Alligator mississippiensis: one gene and its partners. The main gene of each other region encodes a partner of the protein of the gene in region 2 in a complex. Links are inferred from orthologs where the notes say so. Each region holds a gene or a part of one and is shown on either strand. Other genes may lie near its edges.

What was found. Proteins that work in one complex are often made in the same cells at the same time.
Region 1: AHI1 (region 2) and TMEM17 share a complex: the UniProt entries of both Homo sapiens proteins name them as parts of the tectonic-like complex. The link is inferred for Alligator mississippiensis from reciprocal best matches to the Homo sapiens genes AHI1 and TMEM17.
Region 3: AHI1 (region 2) and TMEM67 share a complex: the UniProt entries of both Homo sapiens proteins name them as parts of the tectonic-like complex. The link is inferred for Alligator mississippiensis from reciprocal best matches to the Homo sapiens genes AHI1 and TMEM67.

What each region holds. Positions count from the first base shown.
Region 1 is NC_081824.1:212,938,185-212,945,913, forward strand, and holds the start of TMEM17 (transmembrane protein 17), read right to left. Parts: upstream 3,204-7,729; 5' UTR 3,086-3,203; coding exon 2,977-3,085; intron 1-2,976. UniProt on the Homo sapiens protein: Transmembrane component of the tectonic-like complex, a complex localized at the transition zone of primary cilia and acting as a barrier that prevents diffusion of transmembrane proteins between the cilia and plasma membranes.
Region 2 is NC_081824.1:117,719,248-117,727,242, forward strand, and holds the start of AHI1 (jouberin), read right to left. Parts: upstream 3,211-7,995; 5' UTR 3,059-3,210; intron 1-3,058. UniProt on the Homo sapiens protein: Involved in vesicle trafficking and required for ciliogenesis, formation of primary non-motile cilium, and recruitment of RAB8A to the basal body of primary cilium.
Region 3 is NC_081826.1:43,994,285-44,001,574, reverse strand, and holds the start of TMEM67 (meckelin), read left to right. Parts: upstream 1-4,087; 5' UTR 4,088-4,139; coding exon 4,140-4,329; intron 4,330-7,290. Other genes in the region: RBM12B (RNA-binding protein 12B), read right to left, coding at 1-799. UniProt on the Homo sapiens protein: Required for ciliary structure and function. Part of the tectonic-like complex which is required for tissue-specific ciliogenesis and may regulate ciliary membrane composition.

The DNA.
Region 1 (7,729 bases), about 95 Mb from region 2:
GGAATTGCAAACCAAACACTGTAGTGAGGAGGAAGTTAGTTGATAAAACCTGAAAAACCAGAACTCTTGAGCCCTGTGATAAGATGCAGATAGTAGAGTTCCACAACAGTTCAAATTCATCCACAGGTTCAAAAGATTAGACTTGGTATTAAAAAAAAGTTGTATATTTTAAAAAGAACACAAGAGAACAGTTTTGCCTTTAATTAGACAAGCTTATTCGCATTACCTCATATTTAGTATGATATCAATAAATACCTGAATGAATTACTAATGATCTGTTTCTCTTATGTCCCAAAGAGCAGTTCAGAAGAACTGGCACTTGCTACCATTTGTGGGCAGGTGCCAAATTCTTCTTATGATCTCATTTCCATTTCCTGTTAAACATCTCTTGTTTCTGCATGTGCAACCCAAAAGTTCTGTATCTTTTTTTTTCTTTAAGACTTGTGACCTGATATGTAACAACACTATATCATTGAACCCATCTTCAAATATTGGCTAGTTTCTCTTTGACTTCCAGTCTCCTACCTGTCCTTGCTCTACCTCGGAAAGCATCATCATTGTTTCCAGTTCAGCCTCATGCAGTCATGGTACCTTCAATTCTCAGACATATCCCAGAAATCTTTTTATCAGATGCTGAAGTATTCATGATAATTAATTAGCTAGGTGGAGGGGCAGGAGAATATAGTAAAGGAACTGGGACAAGGCTTTAAGGTAATAGTGTAAAGAGGCGGGACTGTCTACACTAAAAACAGAAGGTACAAGATGACTGACATGTTTAATAGTCCAACATTTTTATGTATAAAAACTATTCCAACTAGGAGGAATGGGAGATGACCTACAGACCTCCAAAAAATGTTCATTACTTAGCTATAACATGCTTTCTTAGTTGCAGCCTGTCCTGATGAATGCAGGACAGTTCATTTCCAGATATTAGAAAAGGAACTGCTTCTGGAGAGCCGTTCAGAACTGGAACAACGTATCAGTTGATATCAGCAGCCTACCCTTCAATGGATAAGTAACATCTAATTACAAGGAGGCATTTTAAACTGTTGCAAGTTACTTATGGATAATGGTAATGGTTTTGATTAATGACAGAGGCCAAGATTTTTAATTTTCTGTGTGACCATCTTGTGATGCTATGCTACACTGGGTTGTTCCAAGTATTATTCCAATGGGTACATTTCTGAAATACCTGTCCTAATATTTCAATATTAGGCCAAATTCCTAATACTTGGATTAGGATTTAAGATTGAGTTTCAGGTAAATAGTTGACAAAAGTAGCCAAAAATGTCAACTTCTTTCCCCCACTCTTGAACTAATTTAATTGCTGCTTACTGTAGGGTGCAATAGGACGCACCGGAGTAAGATACTGGGTGTATTTGTCTATCTTATTCCTTGTATTACAAACAGCAAAGTATTTCTTCATTTGTAATTTTTTATGTAAAAAAAAAATCCTATTTGATACTAAAGGTGGTGGAGAAGCGGAAGGTATCGAACCAGGCTTTATAAAGTATGATGCTTGCTATTATAAAGAGGGGACTGAGAGAATTTAAGCACTGAAATGGGTAAATCCAATGCCTGTGACTCCCTGTGTTATTTTAGCACCTGAAAACCCCCAAATTGCAGGAACAGCAGAGGTACAGGGGGTTCAGAAATGGAACGGTGCTGTTTACTGAAGGACCTGAGCCTATACTACTAGTTCAATTACCTCTGGTGCTTTTTCTACAGTCCTGGAAGCCCTGGAGCCAGGCTGTTTTGGTATTAAAAAAAAATTAAAAAGACAGGCGTAAGGCAGGGTAGGTATGTACCTTACAGACTAAGTAACTATGATTCTATATGTGTGTGTATATCTATACAGAGAGAGAACAAGCTTTCTTGAAGTCCACCCCACTTTAGCAGATGCTGCGAAGAGGAGCCTAGACCAGCGGTTCCCAAACTCTGACAAATTGCGCACCACCAATTTAAAACAATACAACCTTAAGAACCACCAGCAAATTTTTCAGTTTGACCTTAAGTATCACCAGCAAATTTTTGTCATATATAATAATAATAAATCTGTTAATGTGTACCACTGCCACGGTGTCTGTGTAGCACTGGTGGTACGTGTACTACAGATTGGGAACCGCTGGCCTAGACCTTTCACTGCCACTGATGAAGAGAGCTTGAGTTCAGGAAAGTTAGGGGTGTGAATATACACCTGTGTGTATGCCTGTTTGCATGTGTGTAAATACTTACACACACCCAACCATGTGTACCTCTGTCCAATTCAGAATTTGTGGTAGGGGTGATATCTTTTATTAAACCAACTAGATTTTTTTGGGGGGAAAAAAAGGCTTCATAGATTTCATTGACATTAGTGCTGATCGAGTCCAGCCCCCTGCCCCACTGGTAGGAAGTCAGCTAGGGTCAAAGTATCCCTCACTTGCAAGCTATCTTTAATTGCAATTAAAGACTTTTTTTCTTTTTTGCAAAAATCTAGTTGGTCTAACAACAGATGTCACCTCTACCACGAGTTCTGATTCCTTTTGCCTCATGTTGCTACAACCTGGATATCTAACTCATTAAGCAGAAAAAAGCCTGCCCCGCCCGTTGGCAGGACCCGAGGACAGACAAAGGCAGTGCAGCTCAGCCGGTACCACTGCGCACGCGCTCACCGTGCCTAGCGGGAGGAGGCGGTGCCCTTCTGACGGGCTAGCCCGTTCCTGCCCCGCCTTCAGCGCCCCGCCCCCTTATGTGGTGGCGCCGCTGTAGTCCCAGGCATTGAGCAGCCGCGGGGACTGCTCGCTCGCAGGTTGGGAGGGAGGCTCCCTTCCACCTGCGAGTGAGTGAATGAGTGTAGGAGGGGCTGCGCCGTTGGTTCAATGTGCGAGCGAAGTAGAGGAGGCACCTGGGCCGCCATCTTGGTTCCTGGCAGCGACCCGCGAGGGTGCCGCCACCGCCGCCATCTTTGCCGCTGGCACGGGAGCCAGGCCTTACCCGGGCTACAGCCGCCGTCGGGGTACTCCGGGCCGGTGCGGTTGCTGTCGCTGAATACAGTCCGGCTGAAGTTGCTGAGCCGTCTCCGGACTGGCTCCGGCAGCGCCATGTCTGACCGGGAGCCTCTAGGCCGCCAACGTCCCGGTTGCTATGGGAACCATGAAAGCGAGTCAGAACGGGCGCCCCGCCCCCATTGCGTGGCCCAGTTAGCGCCTCTGCTCCCCCTGAGGGGCTGGACGGCCCGCGCATGCGCGGTTGTTCTACCTAGTTTTGGAGCCACGACAGCTCTGCTGGCTCTCCCGGGGGATGGGGCTGCAGGCGGGTTGAGTCCCGATTTGGGATGGGGCCCTGGGGCTCCCGTCTGGCCTCCACTTAGGGCTGTGTTGCCGGGTTATCATAGTTGCACGATAATTTCAAGCCTTGTACGAGGTACAATCAATAATAGTAAAAGTGTTCAAAATGTAGGACATACAAACGACTAGAACTCTTGGTTCCAAAATGATACCTTTTATTAGACCAACTGGAAAATGGGAAGAAAATTGTCCTTTTCTGCAAGCTTTCAGAGCAAAGTCCCTTCGTTAGGCTCTGGGAAAAATGTAGATGATACAAGATGGTAAAAAGTCCCCATAGGTAGGAAATAAACTTAATTTTTGCACACATGATTTTGGATGATTTTTGAGTTTTTGCATGATTTTTTGAGGCAGCTCATTGATGCTACATATGCAAAACCCAAATCACTCTCAGGGAGTCTTCAGTGACTTCTGTGTTTGCTGTTAGCACTTTCTTATGATTTCTTCCCTCAAAATGAAGAGGGGCTTCAAAACTGACAACCCAGTTCTCACTCACTGGTGGGTTATACTGAGCAATGTAAAGTCAATAAGAAGAAGACTTATTTGCGTATTTCCCAGTGTAGGATATTTTTACAGCAAATGAGATAATTTTGAGCTTCCAGTATGATCATTTACTATTTAAGACCTGACAATGGTGGCTTAAGGCAGTGCAGCAGCTTTTCTCATTACCGGTGCTTCACACTAGTGCTAGGGGCCTTCCCCCTTGAGTCTAGGGTCAGGCCCATCCTTTTAAAATGATCCCTGAACCAGGCAGGAGCCCTGTTGAGTGCAGCACAAAGGTACAAGACTGACAGGCCTGCAAGCACAGAGCCTGGGGCTCTCAGGGACCAGCTTCTCCTGGGTTGCGGCAGGGTGTATCCTGCCCCAAGGGCCACGGAAATTGCAGGTCTGTTCTCAGTGTCCTGTTCCTGTTCCCCCAGTGTGCTGAACTTAAAAACTACAAAATACATGTTCAGGAGGCATGGCTGCACTGAGCACAGTTTGTCCTTTGCCCATTAGGAAGAGTCCAATGGAAGAAGGAGAGAAAGAAGCTGGGTCAATCAGTGTCCACGCTTTCCCAGCTTTTCTTTTGCTCAGAGGGAAATTGACACTTGTTTCATGAATAACATCGTGCTGTGAATGACTGCATTAGAAAATATTCCCTCGGTTGAGACACTCGCCTGTGTTGGGGCAAGTTAGAGTCTGATGATACCATCCCATATTATTTTTGAGTGTCCTTTTTTCTTCTATCTGAGTATTTCCTGGCCCTAAAAATTGCCAAAAAGTCTCTCTTACTTTTATTTTAAAAATTTGGTCACCTTACTAACCACGCATGGAGCCCCAGGAGGAACGGATCAGTTTGCTAAGGCTTATTAAAATGTTATAGGGTCTGATGTTTTCAGAGAACCAGGGTGAAGTCCTTCAGTACAACTAATTGAGTATGGAAGAAATGAGTATGTGGGCACACTAGAAGGGAGGAATAGGCTGCAATTGGACCTAGACAGGTTACAGGGGTGGGCAGAAGAGAACAGGATGGGTTTCAACACTGACAAGTGCAAGGTACTGCACCTGGGGAGGAAGAACCAGCAGCATACCTACAGGCTGGGGAACTCCCTTCTTGTCAGTGCAGAGGCAGAAAAGGATCTTGGAATCATTATTGATGCCAAAATGAACATGGGCCGACAGTGTGGGGACGCGGTCAGGAAGGCCAACCACACCTTGTCATGCATCCACAGATGCATCTCAAGCAGGTCCAACGAGGTGATCCTCCCCCTCTATGCGACATTGGTCAGGCCACAGTTGGAGTACTGCGTCCAGGTCTGGGCGCTGCACTTCAGGAGGGATGTGGCCAGCATTGAGGGTCCAGAGGAGGGCCACCCGCATGATCAGGGGGCAGCAGGGCAGGCCCTATGAGGAGGCTACGGGACCTGAACCTGTACAGCCTCCACAAGAGAAGGCTGAGGGGGGGATCTAGTGGCCTGTTATAAACTAGTCAGGGGAGACCAGCAGGCATTGGGGGAGTCCCTGTTCCTCTGAGCACTACCAGGAGTGACTAGAAATAACGGTCACAAGTTGGCAGAGGGTAGATTCAGGCTAGACTTCAGGAGGCGCTACTTCACAGTCAGGGTGGCTAGGATCTGGAACCAACTTCCAAGCAAAGTAGTGCTGGCTCCTGCCCTGGGGGTCTTTAAGAGGAGGCTGGATGAACACCTTGACGGGGTCGTTTGACCCCAGTACTCTTTCCTGCCATGGCAGGGGGTCGGACTTGATGATCTGCTCAGGTCCCTTCTGACCCTACAAACTATGAAACTATGAAACTATGTAATTGGTTTCCCCCTTAGACCACAGCTGAAGATCAGTTTACAGCCTTCAGCATGAATAGTGATAACACTTGTAATTTTAGCCTAGCTAATGTAACTATAGAATGTAGTCATATAAATGTCAAATCCATTTCCTTTCTGCACCCCTCCCCCTCCTACAACAACAACAAAAAATCTTACCAAGCTATTTCCCTTGGTAATATTGGCTGGTAGCGAATTTCACAGATTAATTATCTGTGACTGAGAAGAATGTTTTAATCCATTTTAAGTTTAATTCCCCCTATCCCACTAGGTCAACCACACAGAAAAACCATAAACATCACTTTTGAAAAGTTTGTTTGATTTTGAGCTGGTGAAAGCAGCTGGATCGACACCAGATTTGCCTCAAAGGGCTTCCCGTGGAGGCAGGGATCTTACTGCTTGAATTCTTCAGAAGGCATGTAAGGGAGGAAGGATTTTTGGAGAGCCACAGGCAGGTTTAGGGAAACTAGAGGGTCCAGTAGTTTCTGGAGAGGTTAGGTTCCCAGCTCAGGAGTAAATACTTATATTGAGTAGATGGATTTGCCAAAATGATGATGCTGGCAAATGTAGTACAGCTTATAAGGTTGGTCAAGTGTTGTTATCCCTATTTTACAGATGAGGAAATGCAGCAAGGGTCTAATTCTGTAGAATGCTGAAAGCTCTAAGATTCAGTACAAGTCCTGGGAATGAGAAGAAAGGTAAGCCAATTAACCTTAAAGCTTTAAGATGAAAGACAAATAATACAACTTTATTCTAAGAAAGGTAGGTCTATCCTGTTATCAAAGGTACAGTTCATACCACATGTAGACTAGTGTTTCTTCAATTTTTGATACTTGGGATGCCTTTTTTAATGGATTAAAATTGGTGGCACACCAAATGGGTGCGTGCATGTACATATATTTATATATCTCTTATTCAAAACAAAGAATTCAGGAAGAAATTATACCAGTGTTAAATGTACTGTTAACAAATGACACCAAATATATCTTTCTTTAAGCAAAGATACATTTCTATACCAGTGCTTCTCAATTTTTTTAGCCTCTAGGTACCTCTGTAACTTTTCTGTATTTCATGGCACCCCAGTTGAAAATCACTGAGAGATCTGAACTCCGAAAGAGAGTGTGTGTGTGGGGGGAGCTTGTAGCTAAAAAAGTTGAGAATCATTAATTTAGCTTGTGCCACTTAAGCAGTGGGGGCAGATGTTCACCTGGCTGAGCCCTGCTCTTCCCACTGTCTGCCCCCTCCCAACCTCTGGCCTGTACCTCAGGGCAAGGGCAGGCCATCCTGGTGAGGCTGTCCCTAGGCTGCCCCTATAGGGTCTTGCATGCCAGTGACCACCCTTGCAGGTCCACTTGACCCTGAGAACATGGGAGGAGTGAAAGGGATGAGCCAGGTTGCAAACTGCTGCTCTGTGTGCACCTACTCGCCCGCACCCAGCAGACCTTTTTGCTGGGAGCAATGGAGGGGGGCGGGCAGGCGCCTGGCTAGAGTGATCACCTTTTCAAAAGGGGAAGACAGGACACATGTCCACCTCTCCTCTGTCCTGCTGCTGCCACCACCATGGCTAGCTGAAAGCCGAAAGGAGCAGAGCGGATGCAGGTTGCCTGCTGTGGGCTCGGGGCATCCTGCTCTGCTGCCTTTCCCCTGGGAGCCCGATGCTGGCTGCTTGACCCCTTCCCACCCAGCAGCAGCAGGGGGCACAACTCCATGCTATTACCGCCCCTGCCCTTGCTGCTGCCAGGTGGGCAGGGGGCACCTTACCATGGTGGCACGGCCAGCACAAGCCCCCCTGCAGCAGGGTGGGGACCCCTGAGACCATAGTAGGCAGCCCACATCTGCCTCTGCCCCGTGCACAAAGCTGGTGGGGCATGTGCTCCACATTACCCCCGCTCCCTGGAGGAACCTCCCACGGTTCTGTCCTGCTCCTTGTCCTGACCCCATGCACCACCTTGGCTGGGCATCATGCCCAGCCCCTGCCCTGCTCGCTCCCTCACCCATGGGGGCATTGATCTGTACCCCCCCCACCATTGACTTACCTGCAGGGAGCTGCTCTCCATGCTGCCTGGCTGTATCTCCCAGCCA
Region 2 (7,995 bases):
TGGGTATTTTTGTCTTTGATAGATTTCTGGTGTGCATTCATTCTGGTACGCAGTTGTTGTTTGGTTTCTCCTACCTATTTTCCATCAGGACATTTAGTGCACTAGATGAGATATACAGTATTACATTTCTGGAGGCGCAGGTGTAAGATCCAGAAATGGTGATGGTCCTGTTGTGGGGTGTAGTTATTGTAAGAGTGGTGGAGATGTGTTGGCAGACTTTACATTTCTTGCCCTGGCATGATCTGGATCCTTTCAGTGTGCTTTGGGCCACAGGAAGTTTGCTTCTGGTAATAAGGTTGGCAACGTTTGGTGCTTGTTTAAAGGTTAGGATGGGCAGTTCTGGGAAGATATCTTTAAGATTTGATTCTTCTTCTAGTACGGGTTGCAATTATTTGCGGATTTTCCGTGTAGGTTCCAGGGAGGGTTGATATGTCATAGCTAAAGGTGTGCAATTCATGGGGATTTTCTTTTTGAACTTCAGTAATTCTTCACGTGGTATCCAGGTGGCTCTTTCAAAAGTGTGATCTCTCTCTCTGGAGAAGCGTCCTTGTTGTGTGAAAGCCATTTTGAGATTTGCAAGGCAACGATCGCGGGTGTCCTCCTCAGTGCAAATTCGGTGGTATCGAAGGGCTTGGCTGTATAGTACAGCTTTCTTGGTTCTTTAGGGCGATTGTTGGTTCTGTAAGGATATTTATGTTGGTCCATGGGTTTCTTGGTCTGATCCTTACTGCCATGTATTTGCTTTTTCACAGAGCTGCATTTTGCATATTGGCTTCTATTCCATCCAAACACACAACACAACAACAGCAGACTCTCCCTATGCCTGGAGAAGGGTGTTTGTGCCCAAAACCTTGCAAAGAACAATGTTTCCAATGATTTAGTTGGTCTAATAAAAGATATAATTTATCCAAAGAACCCTGTCTGCCTAATTCTAACTTTTATCTTGACAATATTATTTTCCTCGACCAGCACTAATGATGTTGGAAAACGGCTTCCTATTAAAGAAACATTAAGAAAAAAACATTCAGCCTGAGGAAAAGAAAGCCGAGAGGGGACCTGGTAGCAGCTTACCGCTACACTAGGGGAGTGCATCAAGCACTCGGTGAGCAACTGTTCACCAGGGCAGCTGAGGGGAAAATCAGGAGTAACGGCCACAAACTTCTGGAAGATCGATTCAGGCTCAACATTAGGAAAAAATTCTTCAGTCAGGGTGTCCAGACTGCAGAATAAGCTCCCTCCAGAGGCAGTGTAACCACCTACCCAGGAAGTATTCAAGAGGAGACTGGACAGTCACCTTGTGGGGGTCACCTGACCCCCAGTTATCTTTCCTGCTTAGTGCAGGTGGCTGGACCTGGTGATCTTCCGAGGTCCCTTTCTGCCTTTCAATCTACGAATCCTTCAGAATAGATTTACATTCCTAACAGATAGTAATAAAAGGAAAACAGCAGTCTGCATCCAGAGAGTCTAACAGCTTATTGTATATCTTCCTGCCTAATTTCTTTTCCATTTTCTTCCCCAATATCCAATCTATCCTGTTTTTAAAAAGTAGTTTTCCAATGTATGCTCAAATCAAATCTTCAGAATGGCAGCCCCAAGTCAACTACTGTTGTTTGTATAAATATATACTGATGCAACAGTACACTTTTTACTCTAAAGTAAAAAAAGTTGCACTTTTTACTCTGAAGGTCTCAAGTGTTTTACATATTATACAGTGTATGATGAAGTGAAAGCATACATATTATAAAATTCTATTCAGCAGAAAATTTAGAAACCATTATCGAATTTGGGTCATGAGAGAATTTAGTTGGTATGATGCAATTACCCGATTCAAACTTTAACCAAATTGCACACGCCCTATTTAGAAGCAAAAATCAAGTCTTCCGTGATCAAAAATGTTGTTATACCTTAAGATAGCCCAGTGCCTCCTAACACTCTATTAAGACATCAAGCTAGTACCAACTCAAAAGGAAAGGGCCAATTCTTGAATCTTGGTACTATTCTAGGTCTTTCTGGGTTTTCCCAAAATTGCTTCAGTCTGAGACCTACAGGCAGCAGCAGGGGCAAGAGGACAGGGCTCTGCAGGCCTAATTTAGCTCAGAGGGTTTCAACTGTCTTTGAAACCCCTGATTTACAAGATAAACCCAGAGATTTCACAGAGGAATCCCCAGTGTTAAAACCAGTCTGACCTAGTGCAGGCTGAGTCCTTCCCAACATGTTATTTTTCTGTAGCCCAAAAATGAGCGAAAGCAAGGAGCTGCCATGGAGGCCTCGAGGCTAACAAGACTGAGAACCACCGTGCTATAGACCTGGACATACTGTCACTTGCAACAGCTGCAAATCACTGGAATGTAATTATTAAAAATACTACATTAAAGCACTCACTGGACATGGGCTTAACCGTGCTAGACCGCAATGCAGTTTTTAGTCAGCCCCTGTCAGGAGATACCCCTTGCCACTCTAGCACCCCAGGAGGGTGCTGAACAGGCAACAAGGTGCTTAAAGAGGGCGCCTGCTCCCACTGGAACGGTGCTTAGCGAGCGTGAACATGATTGTGGGACACTGGCACCAGACGTGCTCCAAAGCCAGACCACAAGACCTCAGCAGGATGGCTAGGACTGTGGGTGGACCCAGAGCAGGTGGTGATTCCACTCGGCCCCGGGGGGGGCAGCTCACGCAAAACAGGGAGTACCCACCAGTCCCTTCCCCTCAAAGCACCCCCAACCCCACCCTCACCCTCATGCAGCTCCCATGTGAAGCCCTAACACGCGGGTACCCCGCGCATGCGCAGCGGGTGCTGAGGATGAGGGAGAACGAACCCCCTGGGAGCCGCGCGTGACGTCATCCACCGGGAGCAGATGAGCCCTGCCCCGCCCCCCCGGAGCAGACCACAAGCCTCGCGGGGGAGGCAACGGTGCGGCTCGAGGACGTGGGGTCGCGGTCGTACCGCCGAAGCCCCCTGTCGCCACGGCCCGTGATCGGCGCCACGCTCGGATCCCTCCTCCCCACCCCCCCGACACCTGGGGATGGGGCCCCACGTCGCGGGCGGAACCCCACTCACGTTGGCCGAGCCCAGCGCGTCTCCTCTGGCGGCGGCGCCGCTGCTTCCCGCAGTCTCCCTCTTTCCTCACTTGGTCTCTCCCGCCCGTCCCCCCCGGCTGCTCACGATAGTTGCGCCGAAAACAACAACAGCGGCTGCCAAGGAAACGGCGTTCGGCGCACTGCGCATGCGCTCAAGTGGAGGCGGGGCTTATGGGGCAATGCGGTAGCCGAGTGTCGCTCGGGTCTTCCAAGTGTGCGGTGGTGGAGCGCATGCGCCTTGGGAGGAGGAGGGAAAGGCTGCAATGGGCACGCGCCGGCAGGGACCTCACTCATGGAGTCCAAGTGGGACCTGTCCAAAACAGGGCTGTCCTCAAGTATAACATCCTAACATAGGCTTTATGTAGTCTGGTCCTAGAAATCTCCCAGGTCCACAACCTCTCTGGGTGGCCTGTTCCAGGGCTTCACTGTCCTTGTGCCAAAGTGTTTCCTCAAGTCTAGCTTGAACTTCACAGATTCATGAAGCTGAGGGCTGGAAGGGACCTCGGGAGATCACTGGGTCCAGCCCCCCCATGGGCCAGGAAAGACAGGTGGGGTTAACCAACTCCAGCAAGGTGCGCGTCCAGCCTCCTTTTGAAGATCTCCGGGGCAGGTGCCTGCACCACCCCCACTGGGAGTCTGTTGCAGAGTCCGGTCACACAAACCCCAAATAAGTTTTTCCTTGTATCCAGTCTGAAACCTAGGAGTTGATGACCATTGATCCTGGCTTTCCCCTGGGGTGCTTTGATGGGGGTTTTCCACTGGGGCACTGGGTTTGCCTAGCCCCTGATGCTCACCCCTGATATATTTGTAAGCTGCCACCAAATCCCCCCAAAGTCTTCTCTTTTCTAGGCTGAACAGTCCCATATCTGTCAGCCTTTCCTCATAACGCTTGTTCTTCAGGTCTCTAATCCAATGAGTGGCTTTTGTCTGGACTCAAGCTTCTCCGCATTCTTTTTGAGCTTCCCCTGCTGCAACTGGAGACCATTGTTCCTTGTCTTCAAGCTTCCTTCAGAGGCGCTGGGTGTTAGCTACAGCCAGGGCTGGGGAGTCCCAATGCTGGGAGTAAAGTTGCAGGTTCCTGGCTAGAGGGTCTTCTTGCTCCTCTGCTCAGGGTCAGACTGATTGCCAGATTTGGGGTCAGGAAGGGATTTTACCCCATGGTCACACTGGTGAGGACTGCGTGGGTTTTTGCCTTCCTCTCTAGCCAGAGCCATGGCTGCTTTCCCAAGATCTCGAGTGTATATTAACAACCTTTTACAGAAGCCAGACATTGGCTGCTGTGGTTCCCCTGCTTTACCTGTGGCAAGTTAAGGTGTTAGGTCTGATGTGTCAGAGTTTAGATGAGGGATTTGTATGGGATGGTTTGGACAGGGGTGATTCTGCCTCAGGGCTGGAAGGGACCTCCAGAGGTCATCCTCTGGAGGTCCCTTCCAGCCCCTCTTCTTTGACTCTGATTTCTATGATCAGGAGGGGAGCAGAAGGCAGTGCACACAGGGTACAGAGCAGCAGATGGGGCAGGGAGCAATAAGCAAAGCAGCAGATGGGGCAGGGGTACCAGGGAGCAGAGTGGCAGATTGGGAAGTGCATCAGAGTGGTACTAGGGGAGAGTAGGAGCTGATGTTGACTGTCCTTGGGATGGGTGACAGGCTGGTACAAATCCCTGTTGCCTTGACTCTCAGGTTTTCATTTTTAAACCAGCAGGAGAACTTTTGGAGAATTTTTCTGCTCTCCAATTTTTGCTCAAAGAAGTCATTTTTTAAAAAGTTAATTGAGGATTCTTTTTCTACTAAACCATTTCAGCATGCTGTCTGAATTTGTAGGCAATTAACTATGAATATTCATTTTTGTTAAAAGGATTAAATCCATGGATGAAATTAGTGGCCAAACCTCTATTGATTTTAGTGTGGCCATGATTTCATTGAGCACAGGGTTTCACCTTTTGTCTGTATTGTAAGCTGCAGCACAAGTAGTCAAAGCCACTTAACTCAGCTTATCATCCTCCAAGTGACTGATGGTTCAGTCTAAATTCTATTTCTTCAGTTGCAAATCATCCCTTTTTAGAGTCATATGAAGAAAGAGCCATGCAATAAATTATTTGACTGACTGCAATTGTAGTAATTTTCTAGAACAATGAAAGCCAACCTTTTTGGCAGGCATGCCACAAATTAGCCCTGCATCCTCCCCAGATTGCTATTCTGATTCCCTTCCTCTATCTGATCTGCTTTGCTTTCTGCCCTGTCTGCCACTGTGCTGCCTGTCTCCCTCCCCGGGCCAATCTGCCCCTCCCTGCACATAGAGACTGCAAACTTGTAGCACATGTGCCTTAGGTTGCCCCTCCTAGTAGGCTAAAATAATCTGTGGCTCCATGGAAGCCAGGGAATTTAGCTCTCCAAATGCCCTGTTAATGGAAACAGGCTCTTTCTGTTGACTGGGCTATGCAAATTATCTAATTAACTCACCCAGCAAATGAAAGTGATGGAGCAGCCTACTAAATTTAAACCTATGGCCTGGCACTAACTTGGTGACAAAGGGACTTGGACAAATTCAACAGACTCCGTTATAGACTAGAAACAACAAGACTATTATTATCACAGTATTAATTAACAAACAACAATGAACAACATCAAATACAGAACTAATCAGCAGGGAAGGGAAAGAAACCAAAGGATTACAGGGGAGAGAGTAAAAGCCAGAGAGCAAAGCTCCCTCTCTCCCTTCACACTTGCAACAATGCTGTGGATGCAGGCACAGGTCTCACAGGCTCTATTAGCCACAATAATGAGTCAATATAGTTTTCCTCCTCCCTCCCAGGAGTATTCCTCTCCTGCAGAGGCTCCACTCCTTTAATAGGGATGGGTAATATGTTACCCTCCAAAGGTGGTGATTATCAGCAACTGGTGATTAGCCAGCCAGTCTGGGATTGACTACAACATCTAGTAGGGAGCTTTGCCAGCACACAGTGAAGATACACTCAACAATCAACAACTTTTATCCAAACCCATGGATAATGCCAATACATCCATCCACTCCTCTCAAATGAATCACACTAATTGCACACTTACACACACAGACCTACACCTTCAGTCACACGTCACCAGTCACACACCAACTGTGCAGAACCTCAGGCTCGGGCTCTTTTATAGCCCTCTAATCACACCACTTTTCCATACCAGTTGTACTTTTATGATTTATGCCAATCATTCCTTCAAACAACACACACACCTGTCAATCACTCCTTTGATATGTCTTTCAAACTTCATCCAGTCATGAGGTTAATCACCTCAGGAAGTGAATCTCTTCTCTCTCAATTTTTGGTGCCAAAACCTGTTTGTCACTTTTACGCCAACTGGTCATGCTCAAAACTTTTAAGTAGGACAGTAGTTCAAAAGTTCAGACTTTCTCAAACCTACTGGTCCTGAATAATATAGAGCATGCACAACTTTAACATAAGTAATACAACCAAGGTCATGGACACTGAGATCTATGGTAACATTTCAATTCAAAGACCTTTTTTTTGAAGCAGGAAAGCATACAACCAATGTATGTAAACGTATACATAGATGCTAGGGTTGGAAGGGACCTCAATAGATCATCGAGTCCGACCCCCTGCATAGGCAGGAAAGAGTGCTGGGTTCAGATGACCCCAGCTAGATGCTTATCTAACCTCCTCTTGAAGACCCCCAGGATAGGGGAGAGCACCACCTCCCTTGGGAGCCCGTTCCAGACCTTGGCCACTCGAACTGTGAAGAAGTTCTTCCTCATGTCTAGTCTAAATCTGCTCTCTGCTAGCTTGTGGCCATCATTTCTTGTAACCCCCGGGGGCGCCTTGGTGAATAAAACCTCACCAATTCCCTTCTGTGCCCCCGTGATGAACTTATAGGCAGCCACAAGGTCGCCTCTCAACCTTCTCTTGCGGAGGCTGAAGAGGTCCAGGTGCCCCAGTCTCTCCTCATAGGGTTTGGCCTGCAAGCCCTTAACTATACGAGTGGCCCTTCTCTGGACCCTCTCCAGGTTATCCACCCTCTTGAAGTGTGGCGCCCAAAACTGCATGCAGTATTCCAACTGCGGTCTGACCAGTGCCCGATAGAGGGGAAGTATCACCTCCTTGGATCTGTTCATCATGCATCTGGTGATGCATGATCAAGTGCCATTAGCTTTTCTGATGGCTTCGTTACACTGCTGACTCATGTTCATCTTGGAGTCCACTAGGACTCCAAGATCCCTTTCTGCTTCCGTTCCACCAAGCAGGTAATTTCCTAGGCAGTAGGTATGCTGAACACTTTTCCTCCCTAGGTGCAGCACTTTGCATTTCCCCTTGTTGAATTGCATTCTGTTGTTTTCTGCCCATATGTCCAACCTGTCCAGGTCTGCTTGTAGTTGTTCCCTGCCCTCTGGCATGTCCACTTCTCCCCACAGTTTTGTGTCATCCGCAAACTTGGACAGGGTACACTTCACTCCCTTGTCCAAGTCGCTGATGAAGACATTGAAGAGTATCAGTCCAAGGACCGAGCCCTGCGGGAACCCACTGCCCATACCCTTCCAAGTCAATACCGACCCATCCACTACGACTCTCTGGGTGCGACCCTTTAGCCAATTTGCCACCCACTGGACTGTGTAGTCATCCAAGTCACAGCCTCTTAACTTGTTTACCAGTATGGGGTGGGATACCGTATTGAAGGCCTTCCTAAAGTCTAAGTATACAACATCAACCCCTACTCCTGCGTCCAGGCATTTTGTAACCTGGTCATAAAAAGAGACTAGATTAGTCAGGCATGATCTGCCTGCTACGAACCCGTGCTGGTTTCCCCTCAGCATAATTTGTCCTGCCGGGCTCTCGCAAATGTGAGCCTTGATCATTTTTTCGAAGACTTTGCGTAGGATGGAGGTGAGACTGACTCGCCTATAGTGGCCTGGGTC
Region 3 (7,290 bases), on a different chromosome or scaffold from region 2:
AAAAGGGATCCATTTCCATCTCAATCTCAATCTCATTCTTCATGCTAGCCCTATCACAGTATTTGATCCATTGCTCTGGGGCTGGACTTATTTCTATAAATCTTGAGCCAATGTATTGTTTATTACGCTTAAGTCCTTCCAAAGCATCCTTAGGTGTAGCAAATTTTACTACGCTATTTCCGTTATTCAGACCATTGCGACGCTTTATGAAGATCACTTCATCCACTCGTAACCCAGAAAAGAAAACACGTACTTCTTCTTCAGTTGCAAAGTACGGTAAACCTCTCAGAAATAAATAAAGGTTACCTGAAAGCAACTCTTTCCTCGACTGGTTATAGTTTGCTATGCTTGAATCACCATGTCTTGTACCATTGCTATGAAAGCCAGCATCTGTGTGATTTGATGGACTTTTACTCATTCCTTTTGTAATAGCCGCAACTAAATGTGAAATGTTGCCGACGCTCGAGGCACCAGAATTACTAAGACTTGTTCGTCTAGACCCAGATGTGGTTTCTCTTCTTCCACGATCAAACCTTTTCCGGCTCATTTCTATAGTATTCTGCATTTCCGTTTTGCTGCTGAGAAACAGTTCTATGCGGGAGTCCTTGATAAAGCTTCCTGAACAGCTCATGGCACGTCGTGCATCTTCATCTGTTGCAAAAATAATAAAAGCCTCCCCAGTTTCTCCTCCAATAATATGCACTCCTCCATCAGGAATATTCAATCCCAAGAAGAAACGGCGAATATCTGCAGGGCCCGCAACAACAGGAAGCCCCTGTAAACGGATGACTACAGCCATGCTGCGCTCAACTCACAGCAAAATCACCTGCAGACAAAAAGGTACACATGATAGCAAGTCTTTAGTACTCATCTATCGCAGTATCTAAGCTCTTAAACTAACACCTTTTTAATGAAAATCCCTGATTCAATCAAGCTTTATGAAATCAAGCAAGAAGCTCACAAGTTCACCACAATCATTGAATCCTGTTTTAATCTTGAAGTAGATTTAGTCAAAACCATTAGCTATTCCACCTGGAAGTATGCACAATCTGTCAATATTCCCTATCTAAAGGCAACAAGATCCACATGAGTCAACTCCTCACCATCCACGATAAATAAGGACCATCTCAAGTCTTTCTTGGCATGGCTGCTACTTGTCAGAGATGCTAAGAACCAAAGTCTTCTCTTTGTGTTAGAGGCACTTGCTATCACAGCACTGAAAAAACTGAAAATAAAAGATGAGGGGAAAAAAGAAGAAAAAAAAAACCCCTACATCACCAAAAAAGCATTTCAGTGACTGTAACGAATGTTATGCTCTCAGACAAGTTGTCTACCAACTAACCAGTTCTGCTTACAAATGCGTATATATAACAAACAATGCAACAACGTTGTCTCTCTTCTTGCAGCAGCCAAATGCATTCAGGAAAGCATTTCCTATTTCCCAGTCATAAAGTCTGTGAGAAATGGCTTTGCGTGGTCTTTTGACAATACTGAGCGAGAAATGTTAGCCTTTAGGCAGCTTACCTGGTTCTGCTTGGAAGACCTGATAAATTCTGTAAAATCAACTTAACTGTGGAAAGAAAATGAGACATAATTAATGGCTGATATCACATCTGGTTAAAATACTGTGCCACATTGCTATTGTACATCCATATCAATAGCTAATATTAACAGCCAAGCACTGTAATGAAACCACGATTTGGGTTGTTATGGAGAGGATTCCTTCCTTGTTCCAAGAGAAATACAAGTCAGACAATGTAATTCAGCAAAATGTTATGCCTTGCACTTTTGCCTGTGAATCCATTTAGAAGTAAAATATTCAAAGGTAAAGTTGCTTCTGCAAATGATGAAAACATGCCAAGATTAATGGGTCATCAATTGTGCCACACTGAACTGTTCACAGGAAACAATGGCCAATAAGGTAAAAGGAAAAACCTCTTCGTTTAGTCCTTGAAAGATGCATAAGTCCCACTGAAGATTACATTAAATGTCCAATTCTTCTGAAATCCACCTGCTTTTGAAGTGCGTGACAGAATATGCTACTCACCACCATGGTATTCTTGAAGACACATAATGAAGAAAACCATAAGACAGAGCAAAAAAATTCAACAAGCAGAAATTCCGGAGAGTACAGGAAGTTACAAATTAAACTCATTTGTATTTCCCCCCAAATACCTACTGTCCTTCAATCACAGAACCAAAAACACTACCTTGAGAATCTTAGACTTATCCTGGTCTTTAAACAATTCCTATAGCATGAAAGCCATAGACTACATAGCATATTCCCCTACAGAAACAAGGTAAACCTATGCATGGAATTACCATCATATCATTAGCAATAATAAACTCTGGCTGACAACTGTTTAAGCATACAACATTATGCAGCAAGACTTGCAACAGACCAGGGAAGAGACAGATCTGCACAGCCACCTCATAACCAGAACAGCCCATTGCTTCACCTGAATTAGCACAAAAAATAAAACCAAAAACGTTTCTGTAACTGGCAAATCCAGTGCCAATTTCTAAATTTGTTACATCCTTGTTTTGGAAAAACAGCTACAAGCTAAAACAACTGCATGTCTGAAAATCACACTTCTAGATAAAGAGCTTCCCACATCTGTACAGCTATCTTCTCAATCGATAAAATGGCAACGCCAACATGCAAGGGAAGAATTCAACAGGAAAGCCAATTTTCCCAACAAACCTTCGACTCGAAGTCAAATCCGTATGCCTGCATTTCATTTGGTGGTCTGTAGTATGTCAGCAGTTTTCTACTTCCCTTCTGCATTCCCATACCAATTATTACCCAATATTCTGTCTTCACCCCAGAATCAGCGACGTTTCTGTGACGATAACTATCAAGATCCCTGCGATACATCCCAGGCCTAACATACAGCTACTATTCTTTAAACCAGACAAAGATCACAACAGTAGTGAAACTGAAGTTGTCCCACAGATAAAAAAAGAGCCAAGTGCAGCCAATGAACTTCCACTAGCCGTCCATCCATGCAACCAGCAGCTGCAAGTGCATGCAAGGCAACAAGTGCTTTAAAGGAACGACCCAACAAAGCTACAGGTAGCTTAGAAAGCTTTTTTCTTTAAATACCTATGAACAGATCAACACTTGAGCAAAGCCTTCAAAGGAGGAGGTTGAGAGAGACCGAGCAGGAAGGGTTTTGTGAAACCCTAGGTAGCCACCGGCTCCAAGCCTAAAACCCTGCGTAGCTCAAGCTCCATTTCTGATGCCACTTCACAACGCAGGCAGCGATCTCCTCGCACGGGAACGGGGCCCGGCCCACAGTGCCACAGCCGGGCCGCCCATCCTTCTCCTTTCCGCAGCAGGCCGCCAGGACGGAGCCCCACACAGGAGCCAGCGGGGGACGCAGCGAAGCACCAGCGCCCGGGGCTGGTGTGAGAAGTGGCCGACGCCGAAGCAGGAGGTCCCTTTCCCGCAGCGCGACAGCCGCGCGCTCCTGCTGCCCGAGGCTCCCGGCTCCCGTGCGCAGCCATTGGGCTCCCGCCGCCCCCGTCCTCCGCTCCTCGGCCCGCTCGGGCCGGCTGGCGGCGCATCCCGCGTTCCCGCCCGGGCCGAGAGCCGGCGCTGGGGCCGGCGGGGAGAACAGGCCGCTCCCGCCCTCCCCCGCCTCTGGCCCTCTGCAAGCGTGGGGCGGCCGGTCGCCGAGGAACCCCGCCCCGCCCCCCTCCGAGCCAGCAGGCGACGCGGCCCAGCGCGAGCAGCCGCCTCCCGCCGCCGTACACACCGGTGCCCACTACACAGGCGCGAGGAACCGTCCCCTCACTCAGCGCCCAAGTCAGGCAGCAACAAGATGGCGCCGCCCCACACCTCGCCGCATCGCGCAGGCGCGACCCCCTCCCCTTTGACCTTCCCGCCAACAGACGCGCGAGCCTCCAACCGCTTCCCGCTAGGAGGAGGCGCGTACGGCTTGCGTTGCGTCACTTCCGGTGCTAACTGCGCGTGCGTGCTAGGTTCAGGTTTCACTACGCATAGGCGGGTTGCATCCCGGACGCGCGCAGGCGGCCTATAGGGAGCCGTGATTGCTACAGACGGCGCGCATGCGCTCCGCAGCGACGTCTGGCTACGGACCTCCCCCACCCCCGCCAGCGGGATCCCGGTCGCCATGGCGACGGCTGGGCGTTGGGCCGCCGTCGCGCTGCTGCTGCCGCTGCTGCTGGGCGCGGGGCCCTCGGCCGGGCACAGCTTCTCCCTGCCCCTGCGGCGGCCCCGCGACTGCGGCGAGCCGCGCTACTTCGACACCGCCAGCCTGGCGTGCGGGGCGTGCGGGCCGCACCAGCGGGGCAGCGCCTCGGGTGAGCGGTGAGGTGCAAGGCGTCGCCCCGCCCGCGCCCTCTGCTCAGGGGAGCTGCCGTGCGGCTGCCGGCCCCGGCCCCTGAGCGCGTCGGGGGAGCCCTGGAGATGAGACTTCTCTGGGGCGCCGCGGCTTCGAGCTGCTGGAGAGGGGAGAACAGGTCCTGCCCGGGAGGGCGCCGTAGCGGCACGGCGTTGCCGGGTCTTAAATATGAAATGATCCTATTGGAAGCTCAAAATTATTGTATTGGCTGAAAAACGATTGTATGCTGAAAATATGCACATAAGTATGTAAATAAGTCTTAGCCAGGCAGCGAGCAAGAACTGGGTCATCAACGCTGAAGCATTTCTTTATTTTGAGGCAAGCAGTTGTAAGCAGGGATCCTGTGGGAAAACGGAGAAAACAACGGATTTTCCCCTTTACCGGTGGAAAACATGGATCTCTCATGTTTATCAGAGAAACCTGAAGATTTTGCAGTTTTGCGAAGAGCGCTCTGCAGGTGGGCTGGGGCGGGTGGGAGGAGGGCGGTCAGGCAGGGGGCAGCGTGTGCGTGTGTGCGCACATAGTTGCTGGGCAGCCTGGAGAGCAGCTCCTAGGTGTAGGTGCAGGGTTGGGGGAATAGAGGCCTCCCATAGGGAGGGCAGGGCTGGTGCTGCTGTCCCAGCCGGGCAGTGCATGGGGCGTGTGGCCCTGGGCTGCAGTGTGTGGCCACAGGGCCTTGGTGGGGAGTAGCATGAGGCCACAGCTTGTCTGGCGGGTGAGCAGAGTAAGGCCAGCTCCTGCCGCTACGCACACTCCCAGGAAACAGGGAGGACCTGTGCCCCCCTTCCCCCCCCCCCCCCCCGATATATATGCAGGGTGGGTGCAGGCTGCACACTGCAGGGTCAGGCTCCCACCTTGCTGCCCTTCCCTGGAGCATCTGCAGCCCGACAGGTGCGAACCAGTGGTTCAGGGAACGGCAGGGCCATGCAGGGATCTCTTTGTTGCTGCGAGATCCGCGCTGCCCTAGTGACATGCCCTCTGCGCAAGGCAGCAGCAGGGGCAGCACCATGGCGTTGTGCCCCTCGCTGCTGCCGCATGCGCTGGGGATGCATTGCCAGGGCTGGGTGGGGCTGTGGGGGTGGCAGTGATTGGCACAAGCAGGGCCGGGGGACCGTGGAAGGAATGAGGGGCACCAGCAGGATTGGGGGGACAAGTGGCCTTTCATTTCAATCGCAGATTTTCCAGGGTGTTTTATCAGAGAAATTGCAATTTTTTTGTTTATTTATTTATTTCTTAAATCAGGGAAAACCAGGATCCTTGGTCATAAGGAAGTGCTGGCAGCAAACCCTAAAGTCAGTTGAAACTCCCTGAGAGTGACTTGGGTTTAGAATTTGCTGCATCAATTAGCTGCCTCAAAAATTATCATACATTTTGAAGACTTCTGCTGTTATAGATCGTACAAGGGTTGAAATTATCGTACAAATATGATAATTATACTCTTGGCAACAATGAGCAGGTGGCCCACAGCGACAGCATAGCCTCCATCTATGTGCAGTTGGGAGAGCAGAATAGGCAGGCACTGAGTAGGGATGGATTAATCTGGGGGCAGGGGGACAATGATTCGGGCTGGAGGGCTCTTTAGGGAGTTTTGGTGAGGTGCTGGAGGGGAGGGGAGGCAGTTGATCCTGTCCAGCCTGGCGTCCACCCTGCACCCTGTGCTGGGGGTGCCAGATAATGTGAGCAGGCAGGCAAGGTCTCCATGGAGACCATTCATTGCACTGCGTTGGACAAATGGGAGGGCACCACAGGTGGGTGGGGAGTAGTGTCGTGGAGAGGGAAGGGTGGGCAGGGCACAAGGCAGAGCCATGACCCAGTCCCTGCACATCCCTGCGATGAGGAACAGGGACATGCAGGGAGCAGATCACAGTTCTGCCCCTGACCCCACACTGTCACTGCCCTGTGATCCCAGCCCTAGCCCTGCCTGCTGATCCTGCTCCTAGACTCTGCTTCCTGCCTGCCTGCAGCCCCATCCCATCCACCCAGCTGAGCATAGCCTGCTTGTGGGGGGTCCCAGGCTGATCTCCATGGAGACCCCGCCCAGCTGCTCCATCCACCATCCCTGGCAGTGGATGCACCAGGGTGCCCAGGTAGTGGGGCTGGGTCCACCAGTGGTGACAGCAGCAGAGATGCAGGCAGCAGCAGCCTGCCATGGAGGCTGCCAGGAAATCAAGTCTGGCTTCTGTTCTGCCACTGCCCTGCCATGTGTGCCTGGGCTGGCTCCTGGGCTAGCAGGGCCAAGGAACCTGCCACAGGCTGGATAGAATCCTTTGGGCTGGATCTGGCCTGTGGCCTGTATTTTGCTAGATGACCTCAAGTCCCTTCCAGCACTGAGAAGCTATGGTTCTATGACCCTGGAAACTTTGTTGTATTATTTTTATGTAACAGTCTAGGGCAGTGGTGTTCAACATTTTTCCCTGTGGGAGCTCATGGGCAATGCCTGGTCTGCTGCTCCTGGATAGTAGTTCCTATCCAGCTCCCAGGGGCAGACACCACTGGTCCAGGAGGAGGGGACAGATTGCAGCCGAGCTCAAGCTTGGTTCTGCAGAAAGGGGAAAGAGGCTTCATGGGAGGGCATGGTTTGGTCCTGCAGGGGGAGGGGGCGTGACCCAGCCCCACCTGGGAAAAGTGGGGGCCATGGCTCAGCCCTGTGAGGGAAAGGAGTATGATTGGGGAGGCATGATCAGCCCCAGTCTGGCCCTGCGGGGGGGAAGGGGAGTGTGGGAAGGGGGAAGGAGGCATGGTCCAGGCTGCAGGGATGGTGGTGGCCTGGCTTCGACCAGGCTTGGGGATTTGGCATATTAATGGCTACTGCTTCCCCTCTGACAAATTTTCCATTTGGTGAGGAGCCCCACAGGCCAGATGCAATGGCTGCTTGGGCTGCAGGTTGAGCACTCCTGATCTAACTTCAATGATTTGAAGT